Linked DNA regions of Cricetulus griseus. The protein of the gene in region 1 purifies or fractionates together with the protein of each later gene. This does not show direct contact. Links are inferred from orthologs where the notes say so. Each region holds a gene or a part of one and is shown in the gene's direction. Other genes may lie near its edges. The genes, in order: Tceal1, Usp11 and Kdm3a.

Region 1 (3,790 bases):
ATGGAAGGCCTTACCTTGCCTGGGAAGCAGAAAGGGGATGAGATAAGGGGACCAGTGGGGGGGCAGGGGAGGAGGAGAGGGAGATGGAACTGGGATTGACATGTAAAACAATATTGTTTCTAGTTTAAATAAAAAATTGTATAATAAAAAGAATTTATGGTTTCTATGAAATCTATTTCTTCCACTATGAATAGTAACTATTGAATGATGCCGATGTATAGAGTATAGAGAGTGAAGAATAATACCACATTGTGCACCAAGTGCTCTCCCACTTCACATAATTAAAAAAAAACTTCTCTTGACTATTTTATATGTAGATGAACACATGAGTGTTTTGACTTATGGCATCCAATGTATAGAGCCATTAGATTTATATACTTTACAGATGTAAATGTTTCTAGAGGTGTAGAATTGGAAGACTATTAATTTATCCCAGAATTTCTATTTATGACATAATTGAGGCATAACTGAGGGTCTCAAAAATAAAAATGGGTTGAAAAGAAAAAAAATGAAAGGTTAACTATCACAGAAATGAAAGATTAAAAATGGGACCTGATGGGGATGTGGGTTAAGCATAAAAATTAGTATTTGAAAGGTACTTTTTTAGATTTATTTATTTCATCTTATTGTGGACTTTACTGTATCTGTGTCTGTGCACCACACATGTGCCTGCTGTCTGTGGAGATATGATCCCTTGAAACAGGGTTATGAATGGCTGTAACGTACTATGTAGGTGTTGGGAATCAAACTCCAGTCCTCTGCAAGAACAAGTGCTCTTAAGTGCTTAGCCATCTCTCCAGTGCCCTTGAAAAGTTTTGTTTTGTTTTGATGACAGAATTTTTCCATGTAGTTCTGGCTGGCCTGGAACTAGCTATGAAGAAGAAGCTACCCTCCAATTTGAGGCAATCCTATTGTCTCTATACCCTAAGTACTGGGATTACAGCATCTGTCATCTTGCCTGTCCTGACCATGATACCTTGATTTATGGGGGTGAAATGGTGAAATTTCAGTGCAGGCTCTAGAGAACGGGGAAAATCTGAAGCCTCAGTAGCTGAGGAAAAGTGGAAAGTAAGAGTGAGACATAACATTGGAGATGCAGCAGGGAGGAGACAATGATCCTGGAGAATCAGATGCTAATCGCCTCCAGTAACCAACAAAAGGCAAATAAAGTGTGTGTGGGCGGGGGGGAGGGTAAGCGAAAATTCCGTTTTGTTTGAGGTAAAAAGATTCTGGCAGGTGTTGGCAAATGGTCGCCAAAGTGCTTACTAGGGATCTGAGCCCAGCAGTGACGCGCGCCCCTCACGTGACCAGGAGCCTATGTCTGCCCAAGTCCCTCTCGTCCCGGTCCGTTTTGCCTGTCCAGACACCGTCTTTCTATTACCCTTTGGTCGAGAAGGAAAGCAGAAGTAAGTAAGTTCCCTGGATCCTCTAGATTTAGTGATTGTCAAAGGTTCCTTGTAACCAGTGGGATCGTACCTGCATGGCAGAATCCCATCTTCCACCTATGCTGCAGCCCCGCCCCGCCTTCCCTCCCCCCTCCCCCCCCCGCCTAAGATTTCGGTGCAGAAAATGGTGGTTTTGGGAGTGGGGTGGGGTACAAAGGACGATGCTCTACGTGAAGTATGACTCAGGTGAACCCCAAGGGAGCAGTCTTTGGGGGCGATTAGCTGGTCCCTACAAAAAGGGGTGTGCGTCACCGGGTCTGTTTCTCCTCCTTCTATCCCCGCCCCCTACCCTGTCTGGCGTCTATCTGTAGATTTGCCCGTGTCACCCAGGCGACTCAGAGGGGACCACAGGGGTGAGAGGTTGGGGTAATGGTGGGCAGTGAGACAGGATCCGAGTCTGAGACCGACCACGGAGGGGAACAGTCTGCGGACTTCACTGCTCCGCCCCTGTCACTGCAGGAGAGGCCTTGTGGCAAGGCCTGCTGGGAAAAATGGTGGTCTTTCGGAAAGGAGGGGGCTGCTCCGCAGCCGCGGGCGGGAGAACCCATGAGCCTCTGAGTAAGCTAAGGTTTAAAGACACTCGCCTCAATCAGGGACAGGCAGGGATTGAAACCCATAGCTGGATCCTAGGGTGTTGATCCAGCTGGCCAAGTATTGTGACTCTAGTCTCCTTTTTCTTGTCTCAAGAATAACTGCTTGAAGAAGAAAATTCTCAGCATGGAAAACTCATGCAAAGGAAATGAAGAACAAACACAGAGCACTCTAAAGACGGATGAAGAGCAACCTCCCGTGGAGCAGTATCCTGAAAATCAGTGTTCTGAGGAGGAGCAGTCCTCAGAGGATCTGTCCTCAGAGGAGCAGTCCTCAGAGGAGGAGTTCTTTCCTGAAGAGCTTCTGCCTGAGCTGCTGCCAGAGATGCTGCTGTCAGAAGATCGTCCTCCCCAGGAGTGCCTCTCAGAGAAGAACCTGTTCGAGGACCGTCCTCCCATGGAACAACCTCCCTGTGGGGTGGGCAAACACAAGCTAGAGGAGGGAAGTTTCAAAGAAAGGCTAGCCCTTTTCCGCCCTCGATTTAGAGGAGAAATCCATGGGAGAAATTTAAGTAATGAAGAAATGATACAGGCAGCGGATGAGTTGGAAGAGATGAAGAGAGTACGAAATAAACTGATGATAATGCATTGGAAGGCAAAACGGAGTCGCCCTTACCCTATTTAATGTGTTCCACCTTTCTTTGTTTTGCTTGATAATAATAGCATTGCTACCTGGACTCTCTGTTTGCATCTTCTTACATGCCTTTTCCCTTCTTGGTTGTAATTTTTGTGCAGTTTTATTTCAGGTGTTTGACTTGTAACTGGCACAGGATTGCTCTTTTTTTTTTTTCCTAAACCTTCTAAAATCTGAGTCCGATCCATTTGCATGGAAAGATATGCATTATATATGTGAGGTGATAAAAGCAAAGGTATATACATAGCATCCCATTTTTGTAAAAGGAAAACACATTTATATATTAATATTCAAAGAAAAGCTAAAAACTATATATGTAAAGGCTAACATTGGTTATCTGTGTGGTAAAGATAATAGGTGATTTTATACTTTTTAAATTTTGCTTCATGTAAAGTCTCACTTTTCATGATGAATACATTTTCTTTATGTTGCATAACAAACAATATAATGAAAAAGTGAAGCAATTCTGAAAAACAAAGCTTATTAGTCAGCTCATAAAGACAATGTGATCCTTAATAAATATTTATCAGAACTTAAAAGTTAATCCTATGTTTCTTCTGAATCTCTTTTCTAAGATTTTTTTAACTGTATTTTATGTCTATGGATGTTTTGCCTACATACAGGTACACCAAGTGTATGCCCAGTGCCTATGGAGGTCAGAAGAAGGTGTCAGATCCCCTGGAACTGGATTTATAGATGGTCCTGAGCCACCATATGGATGGGTGGGATTTGAACCCAAGTCCTCTGGAAGAGCAACAAATGCTGTTAACCGCTGAGCCATCTCTCTAGCCCCTCTTCTGAATCTCTTAAGCAGAAATACAAATGAGAATTTTTATTATCAGTAGGAAAAACATTTTCCACGTTAAATAATAGGAAGACGCACATTACAGTACTGCTGTGGAACTAAATGAGAAAAGGATCCTTTGAGATCTGTTTGTTTTGTTTTGTTTTGGTAGGTCCTCCCAACCTCTGTAGATTCCTTTGGAGCCAAGAAATTAACACCTAAAGAAATCTCTCTGGTGCTCATCCAAAATTCCTGTGAGATTCCAAGTGAGTTTCACATTCTGTTCATGTTCTTCTGTATTCATATGCATTGCCATACCTACCAGGCACAGCTTCCC
Region 2 (3,648 bases), about 82 Mb from region 1:
ACTGCCATTTCCTCCTACAGAGATACTGACATCTTTCCCCAATACTTCTACTGCACTCACACTGCCAACCCTTCCCCTTCTCTCTCCCATTTCCCTGTCCTCCCTCCTTCTCTGTTCTCACTTGGGCCACCTCACCTCTCCTCTACCTCTTTCACTGGGCCCTACTACCACAGTGCCTCAGCAATGTGCCACAGCTCACGGAGTACTTTCTCAACAACCGCTACCTGGAGGAGCTCAACTTCCGGAACCCTCTGGGCATGAAGGGTGAGCTTGCTGAGGCCTATGCAGATCTGGTAAAGCAGACCTGGTCTGGCTACCACCGCTCCATTGTGCCGAATGTCTTCAAGGTGTGACTCAACCCCATGGGCTCCCACTTTCTTTTCTCTTGCTTCTCCTAACTCCTACTCACTCTACCACCCGACTGTCTCCTCAGAACAAGGTTGGCCATTTTGCATCCCAGTTTCTGGGCTACCAGCAGCATGACTCACAGGAACTATTGTCATTCCTTCTGGATGGGCTACATGAGGACCTCAATCGAGTCAAAAACAAAGAATATGTTGAGCTGTGCGATGGTGCTGGGCGCCCGGATTTGGTAGGCTACCCATTAAAGCTACAAGGCCTTAGGAATTCTCTGGTTTCCCTGGTCTACCTAACACCTTACCATTTCCTCCGTTCCCCTACCTTGAGCTTTACCCCACCCTTAGTCATAGCAGCATGTCTGTTCCCATAACTTTGGAGTTAACCCCAATCAGGCACCTATCCTTCATAAATCCCAGCTCTGAAAGTAAACATAGTTTCCAGATAGACCTAGATGTTGTTCTGCCACTAAACTTCAACAGTACCTTTCCCCCAACCACTATGAATCCATCCCCACCCTTTCCCTCTGCTAACACACCATGAAACTTGTCAACAGGAAGTGGCTCAGGAAGCCTGGCAAAACCACAAACGACGAAATGATTCTGTGATTGTGGATACTTTCCATGGCCTCTTCAAGTCTACGCTGGTGTGCCCTGATTGTGGCAATGTGTCTGTGACCTTTGACCCCTTCTGCTACCTCAGTGTCCCACTGCCTGTCTCCTCCAGGAGGGTCTTGGAGGTCTTCTTTGTTCCCATGGATCCCCGCCGCAAGCCAGAACAGGTGGGGAGGGAGTATGGGAACACAATGAAGGATATGTAATCAGAATTTGATTACTTTCCCCGGAGTTTTCTGCATGAAGCTACCGTAAGCTCTTTTGATCGTCTTTGGATCTTCTTTCTCCCTCAGCACCGGGTTGTGGTCCCCAAGAAAGGCAACATTTCAGATCTGTGTGTGGCTCTGTCCACACACACAAGTGTTGCACCAGACAAGGTAAGACTTTGCAGAGGGAGACTGGGTAGGTAGGATTTGAAGGAAGAAGGTCCTGGCACATGCACTGTTCTCATGCCCCTGTTCTATCCCTAGATGATAGTAGCTGATGTCTTCAGTCACCGATTCTATAAGCTCTACCAGCTGGAGGATCCTCTGAGTAGCATCTTGGATCGGGATGATATCTTTGTGTGAGTGACAAGATTAAGGGGAGTGGATAGAGGAAGCTCCTTCCCCTTTTGTTTTGCCTTGCTGGGGATGGAACCCAGAGCTCCAGAGCATGTTAGACGACTACTCTTAATATTTGATACTTAGTACTTGCAATTCAGTACATATACCCATAAAGAAGTAAATAAATATATAGAGAGAGCCAGAGACAGGGAGATGGTCTCCCTATGTAGCCCTAGCTGACCTGGAAAAACAGTGCCTTGCAAATAGAAATTTTCTTTGTAAACCAAAGTGTTTTCCACAGGAAAAATGTTTTTTTTTTTTTTTTTTTACAAAATATTTTTTTTAAGAATTTATTTACTTATTATGTATACAGTCTTCTGCCTGCATGCAGATCCCATTCAAGGCAGTTGTGAGCCAACATGTGGTTGCTGGGAATTGAACTCAGGACCTCTGGAAGAACAGTCAGTGCTCTTAACCACTGAGCCATCTCTCCAGCCTAGGAAAAATGTTTTAATCTTTGTTTTTTTTTTTAAATTAACCCCCTCAGTATTCCCATATTACCCAAGCTCTTCCTAAAACAGCATATAGGAAAAGTGCTAAGGAAGTCACTTAGTAGTTCATAAAATATCAAATATTTCACAGGTTTTTAGACCCTTTAAAATATTTTGGGGAAAGGGTAGACAGATAACTCAGTGGTTAAGGGTACTGGCTACTCTTCCAGAGGACCCAGGTTCATTTCCCAACACCCACATAGAGACTCACAACCATCTGTAATTCCAGTTCCAGGGGATCCAGTGTCCTCTTTTGGCCTCTTGCAGTCACCAGGCACACGTGATACACGGACATGCATATAGGCAGAACACCCATACACATAAAATAATAATGATAAAATATTTGGGGGAGGCAGGCAAGATGGCTCAGTGGGTAAAAATACTTGCACAAGTCTGACAACCTGAACCCATGACGGAAGGAGGAAACTGACTTCTGAAAGGTGTATCCTCACCTCTACATGTATGTCAGTATGTCCATACTCAAACACACACACTAATAACTGAAAAAAACCCTACACTCTTTTGGACTGAGGTGAATGATTGGAGCAACTGGAGGGCAAAGTCAGGGAATCTTTCTTGGGATTCCTTAGTCAAAAATAAATTAATCACCCCTCCCCACATACACACACAGATATGAGGTGACTGGTCGGATTGAGCCTGTTGAGGGTTCAAGAGATGATATCGTGGTTCCTGTTTACCTGCGAGAGCGAACCCAATCCCGAGACTTCAACAACTCCTACTATGGGCTGATACTTTTTGGGCACCCTCTCCTGGTGTCTGTGCCCCGGGACCGGTTCTCCTGGGAAGGCCTATATAACATCCTGATGTACCGGCTTTCGTAAGTACCGCTTTCCTAGGATCAGGGTGGTGTATTTGAGTGAGGAGACCAAGGTCAATAATCAGACTTGGGTTCTGTATTTGGCACATCCAAATGACAGTTCAAATTGAACATGGTAGTAGAACTTCTGGGGCTTTTTCTATTTTTAGACCTCTGGCTTCTCTAATGCTTCTCTTTGGTACTGGTGAACCAAACTGAATACAGAGGCGAACAAGACAAAATAGAGACAATTTCATTTTGTATATAATTGTCTCTACAGAGAGATTTGGATATATTTTTACTAGTTTATTCTTGTATCTAAAATCCAGAGTCCTTACCATGGAAAGGTACGTTATTAGATGAATTTCTTCTTCATTCTAATTCAAAAGTTCATCCTTGCTGGGCATTGGTGGCACACACCTTTAATCCCAGCACTCAGGAGGCAGAGGCAGGTGGATCTCTGTGAGTTCAAGGCCAGCTTCGTCTCCAGAGTGAGTGCCAGGACAGTCAAGGCTACACAGAGAAAGTCTGTCTTGAAAAACAGGGAAAATATTCATCATAAGTCTTCTCAGAGGTCAATTTGAATTCGTAATTGATTGTATATCTGTGTTTACCGGTGGCTTTCGACTTAATCTCCACACTCCTAACTACTACATGAATATCTATCCCCAGGCTACTACTGGCATCCTTAGCCTTTTTGTTCATTTCTGTCACTACTTCAGCATTTTCCAGGTTGGTGATTAAGAACTGTTGGGTGTGGTAGT
Region 3 (4,211 bases), on another chromosome or scaffold:
GGACTTATTCCAGACATTTTATCTTTATCATACTTTCTTCTTCTTTCTTTTGTTTTTCTTGTTCCCATATCTGCCTTTTGTTGAAGCGGACAGGTTTCTTCCTTCCATTTCCCACCTTTTAATGGTCTGCATATTATACATTCAACTTAGTTAATTTTTCAGTATTCAAGCTTTAACTTTCTAATGTCATGTTCTCAGGCCAAGCATATTTCAAAATGAACATTTGGTACTAATTTCCGTTGTATATTCACTCATTCCTTAATACATTTTTTGAACTTTTATCTGATGTCCCATTTTCACTATTGTCAAACAGGCAATTTCCAGTCTTTTTATGTTAAGGACTGCTAAATATGATGCTGGGTCAGGCACCAGGCTTCATTAAGAAGTGTTCCATCGTTCATTGCAATTCTTCATTCAACCAATAATCTTCTGGTACAAACCACATAGCCATCTTTTCTCTCTTTTGTCCTTCAAAGTCACCTTCTCTTCCATTGTTACCTTGGTCATCAACTCCACCTTCTTTTTCAGTTTCTTCGTCAAGTCTCAGAGCCCCTTATACCCACTTCACGTTAAGGAAACGCGCGGCACACCGCAGCTGGCGGATCGCTCGCCCCTAGAGTGCACGACATCGTTTTCCATTTACTCTTTCTTCGCTCATCCTTCAAAATGGCGGACCTAGACAGTCACGACCCGCACCACGTGCGCCTGCGCCTCCAGCGGCCATTTCACCCATCAGCCCAAGCTCCAGAGCCCGCCCCTCCCGGCGCCTGCGCACCAGCCTCCGGAGCCGAGTCGCTCCTCCCCCTAACTGCGTACGCCTGAAACCGCACGTCCCTGTACCGTCCCTCCCCCGCAGGCTGTGTCCCGCCCCCGCCCCTTTCCCGTGAGATTCTTCCGCCTCTTGGAAGGTCCGTCTTCGGTCGACATCCTACGCGCTTCACGCGTAGCCCAATCGGCACGCACGGTCCTGGGTCTCCCCATTCAGTCTTATCTGCGAGCCCGTGCGGTTTTCCGTCTGGCTTCAAAGTCGATAACCGATTCGGCCGGACTTTTTTGCGTAGCGCGAGGCAACAAATGGAAGAATGGAGCAGCGGCGGAGGGATCTTCCGCCTGCGTTCTGCGCGCTCTAATGGGGGGTCGGCTTCGAGTCGGGGGGGGCGGGGGAAAGGGAGGAGGCAGCCAAGGAATTGTTTTTTTTTCCTCGCCCCGCCCTCTTCAGAATAGCCAATAGGAGCGGACGGTCTCTTTAGCTGCCCCGCCCGGCCCCCGCGGTTCAGCCAATAAACGGCGGCAGCGGCTCCGAGGGGGCGGGCCCGGGAGGCTGTGCGTGTCTTGTGAGAGAGAGCTCTTGAACCAAGTCAGAGCTGGAGTCGGCTGGGCGGCTGGGCTCTGTTGCCGCCGTCGCGGGTGACTCAGGGAGGCGGGAGGCGGGGTAAGCGCGCCGCGGGCCTCGGCTGCGGGAGGCCGGGGGAGAAGGGTGAAGGGCCCGCGCGGGCGCTCGCCGCGTCGCCTGGGTTCGCGGCGCAGGCCGGGCGGGGGTGCGCCCGAGTCGGCGGCCCGGAAGCGGGGGCGGGGGGCGCGGCAAGTGTCGAGTCGCGAGCTAGTCCACGGCGGCTCCGAGGCCGCCCGGGGCGGGGACCGGCCGCTGGGACGGTCCCTCTGCTCTGGGGGAGCCTTTTCTTTGCTGGGGCGAGGGGACGGACACTTAGGAAAAAGCTCTGGCGCTGCGGCTCAGCCCTCCCTTCTCTCCCTCGGCGTCCAGCTTTGAAAGGTTTGGAAAAAGCGAAAGTTGGTAGGGCGAGAGGGTCACGCGGCACTCGGGCCGGTGTTTGCGGCGGGGGAGGACAGGAGGGGGGTGGGGAGGCGCGGGCGGCAGCTTGGGGTGCGGGGTCCACCCGCGGGGGTGTCACTCCACCGGTCCCCGTCGGCGCTTCGGCTCTTCGGGCCGCCTCCGACCGCGGCCGCCCCCATCGCATTTTGTTTTTGTGCCTTTTGCAGGGAGGAGCCCTTCCTGCTGGCGTGGAAACCATGGTGCTCACGCTGGGAGAAAGTTGGCCAGTATTGGTGGGGAAGCGATTCCTTAGCCTGTCCGCAGCCGAAGGCAGCGACGGCGCCCACGACAGCTGGGACTTGGAGCGAGTCGCAGAGTGGCCCTGGCTGTCGGGGACCATTCGAGCTGTTTCCCACACTGACGTTACCAAGAAAGATCTGAAGGTAAAAAACAAACAAAACAAAACACCCCCTCCTCCCCAACAAACAAAAAACCCATCTCCTGGGGCTGGGCAGTCAGACGGTTTTCAGTTACCTTGGTAACGCGGCAGTCAAACTCCCCTCCCTCCCTTTTCTGAAATGGGCCACTAGAAAGTTGGCATGTGATCTAAAGGTGCAGAATCTAGACCTTGAAAGTCTTTGAAATGTGTAGCGTCAAGGTGTGTTTGGCCTAGAGCTCCAGCTGCCTGAGATTAATAATGGGTTTAGGATTGTTCAGACATGCTTCATTAATGCAGGCGCTGGGTCCCACTAGGACTGTCTGATTATGCCCCCAACGGGAGTAGTATTGTTTATTAGTAATAGGTTAGAGAAGTGGATGACATTTGAAATCATTAATTATCGAGTGCTTTGAAAATAGACTATTTGAGGTGCGGGTGTTGTTCTTTATTTCTTCACTCAACTTTTTGAACTTTACAGCTTGGAAATGAAGTATGAATGTAGAGGGAGGAGCTTAGTTCTGTACGAGTGGGTATTTGCTGGTGTGTGATTAGTGAGGCAGGAGTGAGTTCCTGATGTCAGTGAAGCTGGGTTGGTATGGATAGGACCATATATGGAGGCCTTGGGTGGAGCTGTCCCATACAGGGTGTTTGGGAGGAATGCCTTCAGAAATACTACATGTGGGTGTTTGGGAGGAAGGAGAGAAAGGGAACTGGTGTGACCAGTGAACATACTTTTAATGCGAATGACATTGGAAGCTTTTTCAGTTCCATCTTTTGAAAGGATGAATTCTACTCTCTGATACAAGTATTGGTGTGAAAAGATAGTCTGGAAATAAGCAGTGAGGAAACCATTGTGCCATCAAAGACTCCCTTGTGCAAAAACATCTGAGGAAAGATTCTTAACAAAGACTCCAAAGTGGTAATAAAGGAAGTTTGTCAGGACAGAAGACATTTCTACCCTGAGTAATATACATGCTTTGGGATCTATGCTTCCTTGTGTTTTTACCCTTTTCTTGAAAACTACTCAAAGGAAGCAAGTTTTAGCCATTGTCAGTTGAATGCTGATTTCTGAAACCCTTCATTTGAATACAGACTTGACAGTGCATGCCTATACTATTATGAGTCTTCAGAGGATCATTGGAAAAGGATATTTGGTTATGTATTGACACTTTTCACCAAGTGCCTTGTATTCATCTGCAAGGGAAGAGTGACCACTGGACATTCAGTCACATTCCAAGCATCCTTGTGATCACTAACAGCTACTCTTTTTTGATCATTATAGCAGTACTTTGGGCTACTAAGTATTGTTGATACCATTTTACAGATGGTGATCTTGTGCCTAGGGAACACTAAGTTCATTAGCTTTCGGGCCTTATACCTAGGAATTAGCGTAGTCTGTATTCTCACTTAGGAAGTTTTCCTCCAGAGGCTTCCCCATTACCATCATGCTGCCTGATGAGAGTGGCACCATGCTGCCACAGTGGTGCTGCTCCTATATGCTCGGTGAAGTGTAGCTTTTCTTCCCTCCCACTCATGCTACCAAACCCGGTTTTAGAGATAGTGAGTTGTGTGGGGATGACCAGGCTATTTTCTTAGGCCAATAACCTTTCTACATAGAATGGCCTGTGTACCAGATTTCAGTCATGCTTGTAGTGTTTTCATCTGCCAAGTTGAAAACATTCTAGTACATTTGTTTGATCTAACCTAAATGGGAGCAATATCTCAACTTTATAGTCTTTAGTTCTTAGGAAGATGACAGGAGCCTAGGTATTTCCTTCTAGGATTAAGGACCTGTAAAAGGTCCTTAGTATGTGTTTTCTTGGCCATATCCCCTCCTGCCCCTGAGGTGATAGCTTCACTTTCAGACAAGTCTTTGATCCAGGCTGGCATAATTAGCTACTAAATGGCCGTGGCAGTATTTGAATCCATGTTTGCGAGTGCGCATTCTGGGGTTTCAGTTCAAGAAAATTTGTTATTGATGGACTTTGCCTTACTGAGAAA

The links.
Region 2: the proteins of Tceal1 (region 1) and Usp11 purify together in Homo sapiens (affinity purification with mass spectrometry; 4 studies listed by BioGRID, counting the BioPlex papers as one, with this or other methods). This does not show direct contact. The link is inferred for Cricetulus griseus from reciprocal best matches to the Homo sapiens genes TCEAL1 and USP11.
Region 3: the proteins of Tceal1 (region 1) and Kdm3a purify together in Homo sapiens (affinity purification with mass spectrometry; 3 studies listed by BioGRID and IntAct, counting the BioPlex papers as one, with this or other methods). This does not show direct contact. The link is inferred for Cricetulus griseus from reciprocal best matches to the Homo sapiens genes TCEAL1 and KDM3A.

The regions. Positions count from the first base shown.
Region 1 is NC_048604.1:43,693,242-43,697,031, reverse strand, and holds Tceal1 (transcription elongation factor A protein-like 1), read left to right. Parts: upstream 1-1,297; 5' UTR 1,298-1,406; exon of another isoform or gene 1,407-1,410; intron 1,411-2,132; 5' UTR 2,133-2,162; coding exon 2,163-2,660; 3' UTR 2,661-3,213; downstream 3,214-3,790.
Region 2 is NC_048604.1:125,522,421-125,526,068, forward strand, and holds part of Usp11 (ubiquitin carboxyl-terminal hydrolase 11), read left to right. Parts: intron 1-173; coding exon 174-347; intron 348-433; coding exon 434-592; intron 593-913; coding exon 914-1,138; intron 1,139-1,264; coding exon 1,265-1,348; intron 1,349-1,441; coding exon 1,442-1,536; intron 1,537-2,698; coding exon 2,699-2,905; intron 2,906-3,648.
Region 3 is NC_048601.1:63,329,549-63,333,759, reverse strand, and holds the start of Kdm3a (lysine-specific demethylase 3A), read left to right. Parts: upstream 1-1,294; 5' UTR 1,295-1,432; intron 1,433-1,998; 5' UTR 1,999-2,028; coding exon 2,029-2,214; intron 2,215-4,211. UniProt on the Homo sapiens protein: Histone demethylase that specifically demethylates 'Lys-9' of histone H3, thereby playing a central role in histone code.